Saccharomyces cerevisiae S288C: one gene and its partner. Changing the gene in region 1 together with any one later gene gives a genetic interaction. Each region holds a gene or a part of one and is shown on either strand. Other genes may lie near its edges. The genes, in order: ADH4 and PYC2.

The links.
Region 2: mutations in ADH4 (region 1) and PYC2 together harm fitness less than expected from each alone (positive genetic interaction), as found in Saccharomyces cerevisiae (2 studies listed by BioGRID).

The regions. Positions count from the first base shown.
Region 1 is NC_001139.9:13,454-17,097, forward strand, and holds ADH4 (alcohol dehydrogenase ADH4), read left to right. Parts: upstream 1-1,705; coding exon 1,706-2,854; downstream 2,855-3,644. Other genes in the region: alpha-1,3-mannosyltransferase MNT2, read right to left, coding at 1-704. UniProt on the Saccharomyces cerevisiae protein: Alcohol dehydrogenase specific for ethanol. Acts mainyl as a mitochondrial formaldehyde dehydrogenase and has no effect on ethanol production. Shows drastically reduced activity towards primary alcohols from 4 carbon atoms upward.
Region 2 is NC_001134.8:658,207-664,455, reverse strand, and holds PYC2 (pyruvate carboxylase 2), read left to right. Parts: upstream 1-2,206; coding exon 2,207-5,749; downstream 5,750-6,249. Other genes in the region: YBR220C (uncharacterized protein), read left to right, coding at 1-1,461; YBR219C (uncharacterized protein), read left to right, coding at 1,153-1,453, 1,875-1,957; ATG12 (Atg12p), read right to left, coding at 6,064-6,249. UniProt on the Saccharomyces cerevisiae protein: Pyruvate carboxylase catalyzes a 2-step reaction, involving the ATP-dependent carboxylation of the covalently attached biotin in the first step and the transfer of the carboxyl group to pyruvate in the second.

The DNA of each region.
Region 1 (3,644 bases):
GCAGGATATTCAGCGGTGTCTAGACTTCTCGCATATTTGATAATAGATTTCATGGAATCTTGACTCAGATCTGCATTATGAACAATCTGTATAGGATAATCATTTTTGATGAACCTCAACACTTTCAATAAGCGTATGGTTTCATTCAACTGCACGTCAGAAGCACTAATAACTATGCCTTTCGAACCACTTTGAGTCACAGTGTGCAACCAATTCTCCCAAAAAGATAGCCCTGTATCGAAATTGATGGGCTTAGAACGAAGGAATTGATGGTTTTTGGGGTCAAATTCCAACATAGACGCATGGTAAACCTCGCCATTCCATCTCGTAGTTGTGTGCCAGAAGGCACTTTCATCAGTTTCTAATTTTTCAAAGTTAATATACGGAAAGAGCTTCTTTTCAATATCCCTCAAACGCTGAATATTATGCCCATCAACCTGCTGCAAGCAATTAAAAAAAATCTTAATCCTCGTAACCAGTTCAATCACATCTTTTGCAGGATTCGGGGTTATTTGATTTACGTCGTAGAAGTCATTCAACCACCCAGGCGTAAGACCTTCATAGTAACTCCAGCAGCCACCATTGCCACTGCTGCTACTTTGAACTGGTTCTACCAAATCTAACGAATTCAACTGAGAGTAATATACTACTAACACAATTCCCAGTAGTACAACTAATATAAACAGTCGATTTTTTCTTCTCATATTCGATAAATACTATTGGGGCTACTTTTGTCCTGTCACTGCGGATTTGCAAACACTCATGCGAATATTTTACTCAATTGAGAGATTTGCTGTCTCCCCCCACTTCGATGGTCCCCACCCCTAAAGTAAAGGAAAGAAGAATTAGCACTGTTTTAGTTCCAGGTACTTCTTTCTTTCTTTACCGGTATTGTGTGGCTCATCAAAACTTCGTCTCGGGAAAATGAAAAATGTAAACAAGAATTTCCGTTTCAAAGAGTTGCCTAAGGCCCACTAATAATGTACTTATTATTTACAATTCGGAGAACGCTGCTGATAGAAATCAATCAAGAAGTCCCTTAGTCTTTGTGTGTTTACGCCATATTGCTTAGTTTCGTAGTGCGTTACAGTTCTATCGTGTGAAAATTTTTTTCTAATGCATCAGCTGTTATGCGCACTACTTGAAAGGTTATCGAGCGTTTGTAAAAAGTAGAAGTACTTAAATGAACCTTCACGGTTAAGCAACCAGTATAATTGAGGCTGCTGATTTGAAATTGCGTTTTGTGTTCAGAAGGATCCCCGGAGGCCTTCAATGAGCTTCCATTTTATTTTCTCCAAGGAGGCCATTTTTTGTAGTGTGATGTTGACATGGTTATAACTGTTAGCAGTGTTTGTGATGATGGCTGTAGTATCACCGCAGTGGATTAGCTATGAAAAAAAAAAAAAAGAACTAGTTTTTAGTTCGCGCATCACGAGGTACGTGTTTAATATGTCAGATGCTTGGGATCACGTATGCCGTTAACTCTACAAAGCAATTGATATTTTGCTGCCTCAAATATCTCACACTACTAGGATATATTCTTTTATCAAACAGGAAAAAAGGGCAGCGTACCAACATGTATAAAAGGGTTATTAGCATTTCTGGTTTATTAAAGACTGGAGTCAAACGTTTTTCTTCTGTCTATTGCAAAACAACCATCAACAACAAGTTTACATTTGCAACAACTAATAGTCAAATAAGAAAAATGTCTTCCGTTACTGGGTTTTACATTCCACCAATCTCTTTCTTTGGTGAAGGTGCTTTAGAAGAAACCGCTGATTACATCAAAAACAAGGATTACAAAAAGGCTTTGATCGTTACTGATCCTGGTATTGCAGCTATTGGTCTCTCCGGTAGAGTCCAAAAGATGTTGGAAGAACGTGACTTAAACGTTGCTATCTATGACAAAACTCAACCAAACCCAAATATTGCCAATGTCACAGCTGGTTTGAAGGTTTTGAAGGAACAAAACTCTGAAATTGTTGTTTCCATTGGTGGTGGTTCTGCTCACGACAATGCTAAGGCCATTGCTTTATTGGCTACTAACGGTGGGGAAATCGGAGACTATGAAGGTGTCAATCAATCTAAGAAGGCTGCTTTACCACTATTTGCCATCAACACTACTGCTGGTACTGCTTCCGAAATGACCAGATTCACTATTATCTCTAATGAAGAAAAGAAAATCAAGATGGCTATCATTGACAACAACGTCACTCCAGCTGTTGCTGTCAACGATCCATCTACCATGTTTGGTTTGCCACCTGCTTTGACTGCTGCTACTGGTCTAGATGCTTTGACTCACTGTATCGAAGCTTATGTTTCCACCGCCTCTAACCCAATCACCGATGCCTGTGCTTTGAAGGGTATTGATTTGATCAATGAAAGCTTAGTCGCTGCATACAAAGACGGTAAAGACAAGAAGGCCAGAACTGACATGTGTTACGCTGAATACTTGGCAGGTATGGCTTTCAACAATGCTTCTCTAGGTTATGTTCATGCCCTTGCTCATCAACTTGGTGGTTTCTACCACTTGCCTCATGGTGTTTGTAACGCTGTCTTGTTGCCTCATGTTCAAGAGGCCAACATGCAATGTCCAAAGGCCAAGAAGAGATTAGGTGAAATTGCTTTGCATTTCGGTGCTTCTCAAGAAGATCCAGAAGAAACCATCAAGGCTTTGCACGTTTTAAACAGAACCATGAACATTCCAAGAAACTTGAAAGAATTAGGTGTTAAAACCGAAGATTTTGAAATTTTGGCTGAACACGCCATGCATGATGCCTGCCATTTGACTAACCCAGTTCAATTCACCAAAGAACAAGTGGTTGCCATTATCAAGAAAGCCTATGAATATTAAAAAAATCGAACGAACTCATAAACGTCAATTATGCGTGTGCCTTATTTATTTAGTTGTGCGTACAGTATAATGCACTTATTTATTTACCAATCAAATGATTTTTTTAACTTTTCACGATCTATATAATTACGTTAATTTCGAGTATATAACAATGAAAATATATATCTACGTTGTTTTAAATTGAAAAAAGAAGAACGGAAGTTCTATTAATGAGCCGAGACCGGTACGTTTGTTGAAAATAGTTTGGACTTAATTACTGACATACTGTTGGCTTTGAAGCATTTAAGACTGAAAAATAGTCATGCAAAAGTCATGCTTTAATATGGTGGGTTTCAGTTGGATGCAAGAAATAAAATGAAATTCGAAGGCCTTTTGCAATTAAACAAGGCATCGTCAACCAGACAATGTCGAAAATTTTGAGTCAATCTAAATCAATCCACCGCCACACTGAATTCTGTCAATGATATTGTCTTCCTTTTTTTGGTTTGATATCTCTAATTTTCAACCTGTTATAAGCAACGTCAATCCGATTACTTTCGTGTGTCATTCACATGCGCATATTTTTTTATTCGTTTTATGATATAGCTGTCTTTATTATAACCTCGAAACACAACGGCAATGTAACCTTACCAGCCGCATTATTACAAGGAGCCCACTTTATTTTCAATTGCTATCGCTACATCGCAAATGCTACAGCACCCCCATCAGACCTTGAAGTATATATATATTTAATAATAAATACATTATTGGAATGGCTAGTAAATTTTGACATAAACATGATTTCCGAACG
Region 2 (6,249 bases), on another chromosome or scaffold:
GTAGACTCACTGTACAACAAGCGCATCGGTAGAAGAAGATCATGGATCATTCCAGTACAATTTGTTAGTGGATTTGTGCTATGGGCATTAGGGTGGTGCATATCACAAGGCATAATCTTCGATGGTGTCGACGATGCGTTCCATAATCGCGGTAATGGCACTTTACACAGTGTCAGTATAAAAAATTTGACGTGGTGGTTTGGCCTGTTAGTTTTTCTGTGTGCCACTCAAGACATCGCAGTTGATGGTTGGGCGTTGACGATTTTGTCCAAAGAATCCCTATCATATGCATCTACCGCGCAAACAATAGGTTTGAATATTGGTTATTTTATGTCATTTACCATTTTCCTGTCGTTGAATTCCTCTGATTTCGCCAATAAGTATTTCAGAAACATCCCACTGGATCACGGGTTCATTAGTCTTGGTGGGTACATGAAATTCTCGGGCATGCTTTACATTGTAATAACCATATATATCATCTTTTGCACCAAGGAAAAACCCTACGTAGAGTATTTGCCCAAAGTGGAGCCCATAAATACAAGTGACGGAGGGTCAAAGCCGATAAGTATTGAGTATGACGACGGTGATGTGGTGTCAACTCAGAATACAAGCAGTATAAAGTACATTTACCGCTGCTTTATAAAAGTGTTGAAATTGAAGTCCGTAAGAAGCCTAGCCTTCATTCACATGATTTCGAAATTTGCCTTTCAATGCAACGAAGCCGCCACAAACCTGAAACTACTAGAGCAAGGCTTCAAAAGAGAAGACTTGGCTGTGACAGTACTCATAGACCTGCCGTTCGAAATCATATTTGGGTACTATGTTGTTAAATGGAGCTCCGACAAGGACCCCATGATTCGTGACAATAGAAGATTAAGAAACAGCACGGGCACCAACAAGGTCATCAAGTTCTTAGTTGGGGATGCCGGCGTTTTAACACCATGGTTGTGGGGCTTTTTGGGCCGTCTGGCAGCCGCGGTCTTGGGAAGTTACGTGGTGAAGCAATTCCCCAAGGATGGTGAAATATCCACGGGTTATTTTTGTCTCGTGATATTCCAGCACCTCTTAGGTTCCTTCATGAATACTGTCCAGTTCATTGGAATATCGGCCTTCCATACAAGAGTTGCAGACCCCGTGCTGGGTGGCACATATATGACATTGTTAAATACCCTCAGCAACTTCGGTGGGACATGGCCGCGGTTAATCATTATGTCCATGATCAACTACTTCACCGTGTATCAGTGCACTATTCCTGGCACAAATAAAGTATACGTAACTCACGGCGGCAGCATGCAAGCGTGCACCGAGCTTTTGAATGGCACCGTGACCATCCTGCGTGACGGCTATTACATCACCAATCTCATATGTATTGTAGTCGGACTTTTCCTATATTTTGGATATTTGAAAAGGAAAATCCTCCATTTACAAAGTCTGCCAATCAGTTCCTGGAGATGTACGTAACGACCCCTCAAACAAGAATTGTACGACATTACGTTCAAGAAAATTTTAACGAGTATCGTAATATTTACAAGATCTTTTTATGTACTACAGGAAGCAGAAACAAAATGAGTATCAATACCAGTGTAAATCTGTTAATGAGAATCATCACATTATCCCAGTTTTTTCCATGCAAGGGAAAAATATACTATACGACATTTCTATACTTTAATTATCAATTAAGGTCATCTTTCTGTACGAAAACTAACCACGATTGTCACTAACGACGTGTCCCTTACCCGACGCAGCTGCTGATAGCGTACCGCACAGGCACAGCCAGCTCTTCTGTGATTGGCAGAGAGGGGTCCTTCCTGCGGAAGACGCCGCAAAGGCACATATGACTAACCTTTTTTTTTTCGCAATTAATTTTCTAATAGTTTTTCATTTTTTTTTTACAATTTTGGCAGTTACGTCTCGAGCTATTTATTATAAGAGTCAGAATTGGCGCAGGGAGTGTTAAGTAAGAAGTACTCCCCATCGGATATTTCCTATTGTGTTTCTGTGATTTTTAGTCCTTTTTTCTTTTCTCTTACTTTCGGTATCCTTACTTGATTACATACATAAACAAGCCCCTCTTTTCTTCCAAACTCTTGTAGCTTACTATCTGTGGCCCGTCATTTGAGTTTGATTTTTTTGCCAATTACTATATTGCAAAATAAAGGACAGTTACTAGGAGAGAAAATAAGGGACATAGAGAACAAAATAAAATATGAGCAGTAGCAAGAAATTGGCCGGTCTTAGGGACAATTTCAGTTTGCTCGGCGAAAAGAATAAGATCTTGGTCGCCAATAGAGGTGAAATTCCGATTAGAATTTTTAGATCTGCTCATGAGCTGTCTATGAGAACCATCGCCATATACTCCCATGAGGACCGTCTTTCAATGCACAGGTTGAAGGCGGACGAAGCGTATGTTATCGGGGAGGAGGGCCAGTATACACCTGTGGGTGCTTACTTGGCAATGGACGAGATCATCGAAATTGCAAAGAAGCATAAGGTGGATTTCATCCATCCAGGTTATGGGTTCTTGTCTGAAAATTCGGAATTTGCCGACAAAGTAGTGAAGGCCGGTATCACTTGGATCGGCCCTCCAGCTGAAGTTATTGACTCTGTGGGTGACAAAGTCTCTGCCAGACACTTGGCAGCAAGAGCTAACGTTCCTACCGTTCCCGGTACTCCAGGACCTATCGAAACTGTGCAAGAGGCACTTGACTTCGTTAATGAATACGGCTACCCGGTGATCATTAAGGCCGCCTTTGGTGGTGGTGGTAGAGGTATGAGAGTCGTTAGAGAAGGTGACGACGTGGCAGATGCCTTTCAACGTGCTACCTCCGAAGCCCGTACTGCCTTCGGTAATGGTACCTGCTTTGTGGAAAGATTCTTGGACAAGCCAAAGCATATTGAAGTTCAATTGTTGGCTGATAACCACGGAAACGTGGTTCATCTTTTCGAAAGAGACTGTTCTGTGCAAAGAAGACACCAAAAAGTTGTCGAAGTCGCTCCAGCAAAGACTTTGCCCCGTGAAGTTCGTGACGCTATTTTGACAGATGCTGTTAAATTAGCTAAGGTATGTGGTTACAGAAACGCAGGTACCGCCGAATTCTTGGTTGACAACCAAAACAGACACTATTTCATTGAAATTAATCCAAGAATTCAAGTGGAGCATACCATCACTGAAGAAATCACCGGTATTGACATTGTTTCTGCCCAAATCCAGATTGCCGCAGGTGCCACTTTGACTCAACTAGGTCTATTACAGGATAAAATCACCACCCGTGGGTTTTCCATCCAATGTCGTATTACCACTGAAGATCCCTCTAAGAATTTCCAACCGGATACCGGTCGCCTGGAGGTCTATCGTTCTGCCGGTGGTAATGGTGTGAGATTGGACGGTGGTAACGCTTATGCAGGTGCTACTATCTCGCCTCACTACGACTCAATGCTGGTCAAATGTTCATGCTCTGGTTCTACTTATGAAATCGTCCGTAGGAAGATGATTCGTGCCCTGATCGAATTCAGAATCAGAGGTGTTAAGACCAACATTCCCTTCCTATTGACTCTTTTGACCAATCCAGTTTTTATTGAGGGTACATACTGGACGACTTTTATTGACGACACCCCACAACTGTTCCAAATGGTATCGTCACAAAACAGAGCGCAAAAACTGTTACACTATTTGGCAGACTTGGCAGTTAACGGTTCTTCTATTAAGGGTCAAATTGGCTTGCCAAAACTAAAATCAAATCCAAGTGTCCCCCATTTGCACGATGCTCAGGGCAATGTCATCAACGTTACAAAGTCTGCACCACCATCCGGATGGAGACAAGTGCTACTGGAAAAGGGACCATCTGAATTTGCCAAGCAAGTCAGACAGTTCAATGGTACTCTACTGATGGACACCACCTGGAGAGACGCTCATCAATCTCTACTTGCAACAAGAGTCAGAACCCACGATTTGGCTACAATCGCTCCAACAACCGCACATGCCCTTGCAGGTGCTTTCGCTTTAGAATGTTGGGGTGGTGCTACATTCGACGTTGCAATGAGATTCTTGCATGAGGATCCATGGGAACGTCTGAGAAAATTAAGATCTCTGGTGCCTAATATTCCATTCCAAATGTTATTACGTGGTGCCAACGGTGTGGCTTACTCTTCATTACCTGACAATGCTATTGACCATTTTGTCAAGCAAGCCAAGGATAATGGTGTTGATATATTTAGAGTTTTTGATGCCTTGAATGATTTAGAACAATTAAAAGTTGGTGTGAATGCTGTCAAGAAGGCCGGTGGTGTTGTCGAAGCTACTGTTTGTTACTCTGGTGACATGCTTCAGCCAGGTAAGAAATACAACTTAGACTACTACCTAGAAGTTGTTGAAAAAATAGTTCAAATGGGTACACATATCTTGGGTATTAAGGATATGGCAGGTACTATGAAACCGGCCGCTGCCAAATTATTAATTGGCTCCCTAAGAACCAGATATCCGGATTTACCAATTCATGTTCACAGTCATGACTCCGCAGGTACTGCTGTTGCGTCTATGACTGCATGTGCCCTAGCAGGTGCTGATGTTGTCGATGTAGCTATCAATTCAATGTCGGGCTTAACTTCCCAACCATCAATTAATGCACTGTTGGCTTCATTAGAAGGTAACATTGATACTGGGATTAACGTTGAGCATGTTCGTGAATTAGATGCATACTGGGCCGAAATGAGACTGTTGTATTCTTGTTTCGAGGCCGACTTGAAGGGACCAGATCCAGAAGTTTACCAACATGAAATCCCAGGTGGTCAATTGACTAACTTGTTATTCCAAGCTCAACAACTGGGTCTTGGTGAACAATGGGCTGAAACTAAAAGAGCTTACAGAGAAGCCAATTACCTACTGGGAGATATTGTTAAAGTTACCCCAACTTCTAAGGTTGTCGGTGATTTAGCTCAATTCATGGTTTCTAACAAACTGACTTCCGACGATATTAGACGTTTAGCTAATTCTTTGGACTTTCCTGACTCTGTTATGGACTTTTTTGAAGGTTTAATTGGTCAACCATACGGTGGGTTCCCAGAACCATTAAGATCTGATGTATTGAGAAACAAGAGAAGAAAGTTGACGTGCCGTCCAGGTTTAGAATTAGAACCATTTGATCTCGAAAAAATTAGAGAAGACTTGCAGAACAGATTCGGTGATATTGATGAATGCGATGTTGCTTCTTACAATATGTATCCAAGGGTCTATGAAGATTTCCAAAAGATCAGAGAAACATACGGTGATTTATCAGTTCTACCAACCAAAAATTTCCTAGCACCAGCAGAACCTGATGAAGAAATCGAAGTCACCATCGAACAAGGTAAGACTTTGATTATCAAATTGCAAGCTGTTGGTGACTTAAATAAGAAAACTGGGCAAAGAGAAGTGTATTTTGAATTGAACGGTGAATTAAGAAAGATCAGAGTTGCAGACAAGTCACAAAACATACAATCTGTTGCTAAACCAAAGGCTGATGTCCACGATACTCACCAAATCGGTGCACCAATGGCTGGTGTTATCATAGAAGTTAAAGTACATAAAGGGTCTTTGGTGAAAAAGGGCGAATCGATTGCTGTTTTGAGTGCCATGAAAATGGAAATGGTTGTCTCTTCACCAGCAGATGGTCAAGTTAAAGACGTTTTCATTAAGGATGGTGAAAGTGTTGACGCATCAGATTTGTTGGTTGTCCTAGAAGAAGAAACCCTACCCCCATCCCAAAAAAAGTAATTTTTACTCGTTAATTATATTTTATGACATCTGAAAATACTAGCTGTACTATATATGGCGTATATTTTATCTAGTTATGTTCCCATGTATATTTAAATGCCAAATAGAAAGTAATCAAACACTTTCGATGAAATACGTGCTAACTGTGTTTCTTCCTTAATGCTTTCACTTACCATGTCTCCATTCTCCATTTTCTTCTTGAGTGAAAATGTGAGTTTATAACGCTCAAGTACGTTAACTACTCTATTTAATATCGTACGGGATTTTTGATCGACTGTAGGTTTTCTTCTTAGACCATTCCAGCGCCCGGGTATTTAACCAAACGCTACGGATGCACAATAACTTACAATAAGCTCATCATTAGTCTTGAATTGCATCCAAAGTTCACCAATATTTTGCTGCGGACTTGGCGCAAACGAATTATTTATATAACAATAAACATGGTCCATTTTCAGCCGTCTCTTAAGAAATAAAATAACCATTGCAAAAGACTGTGACAT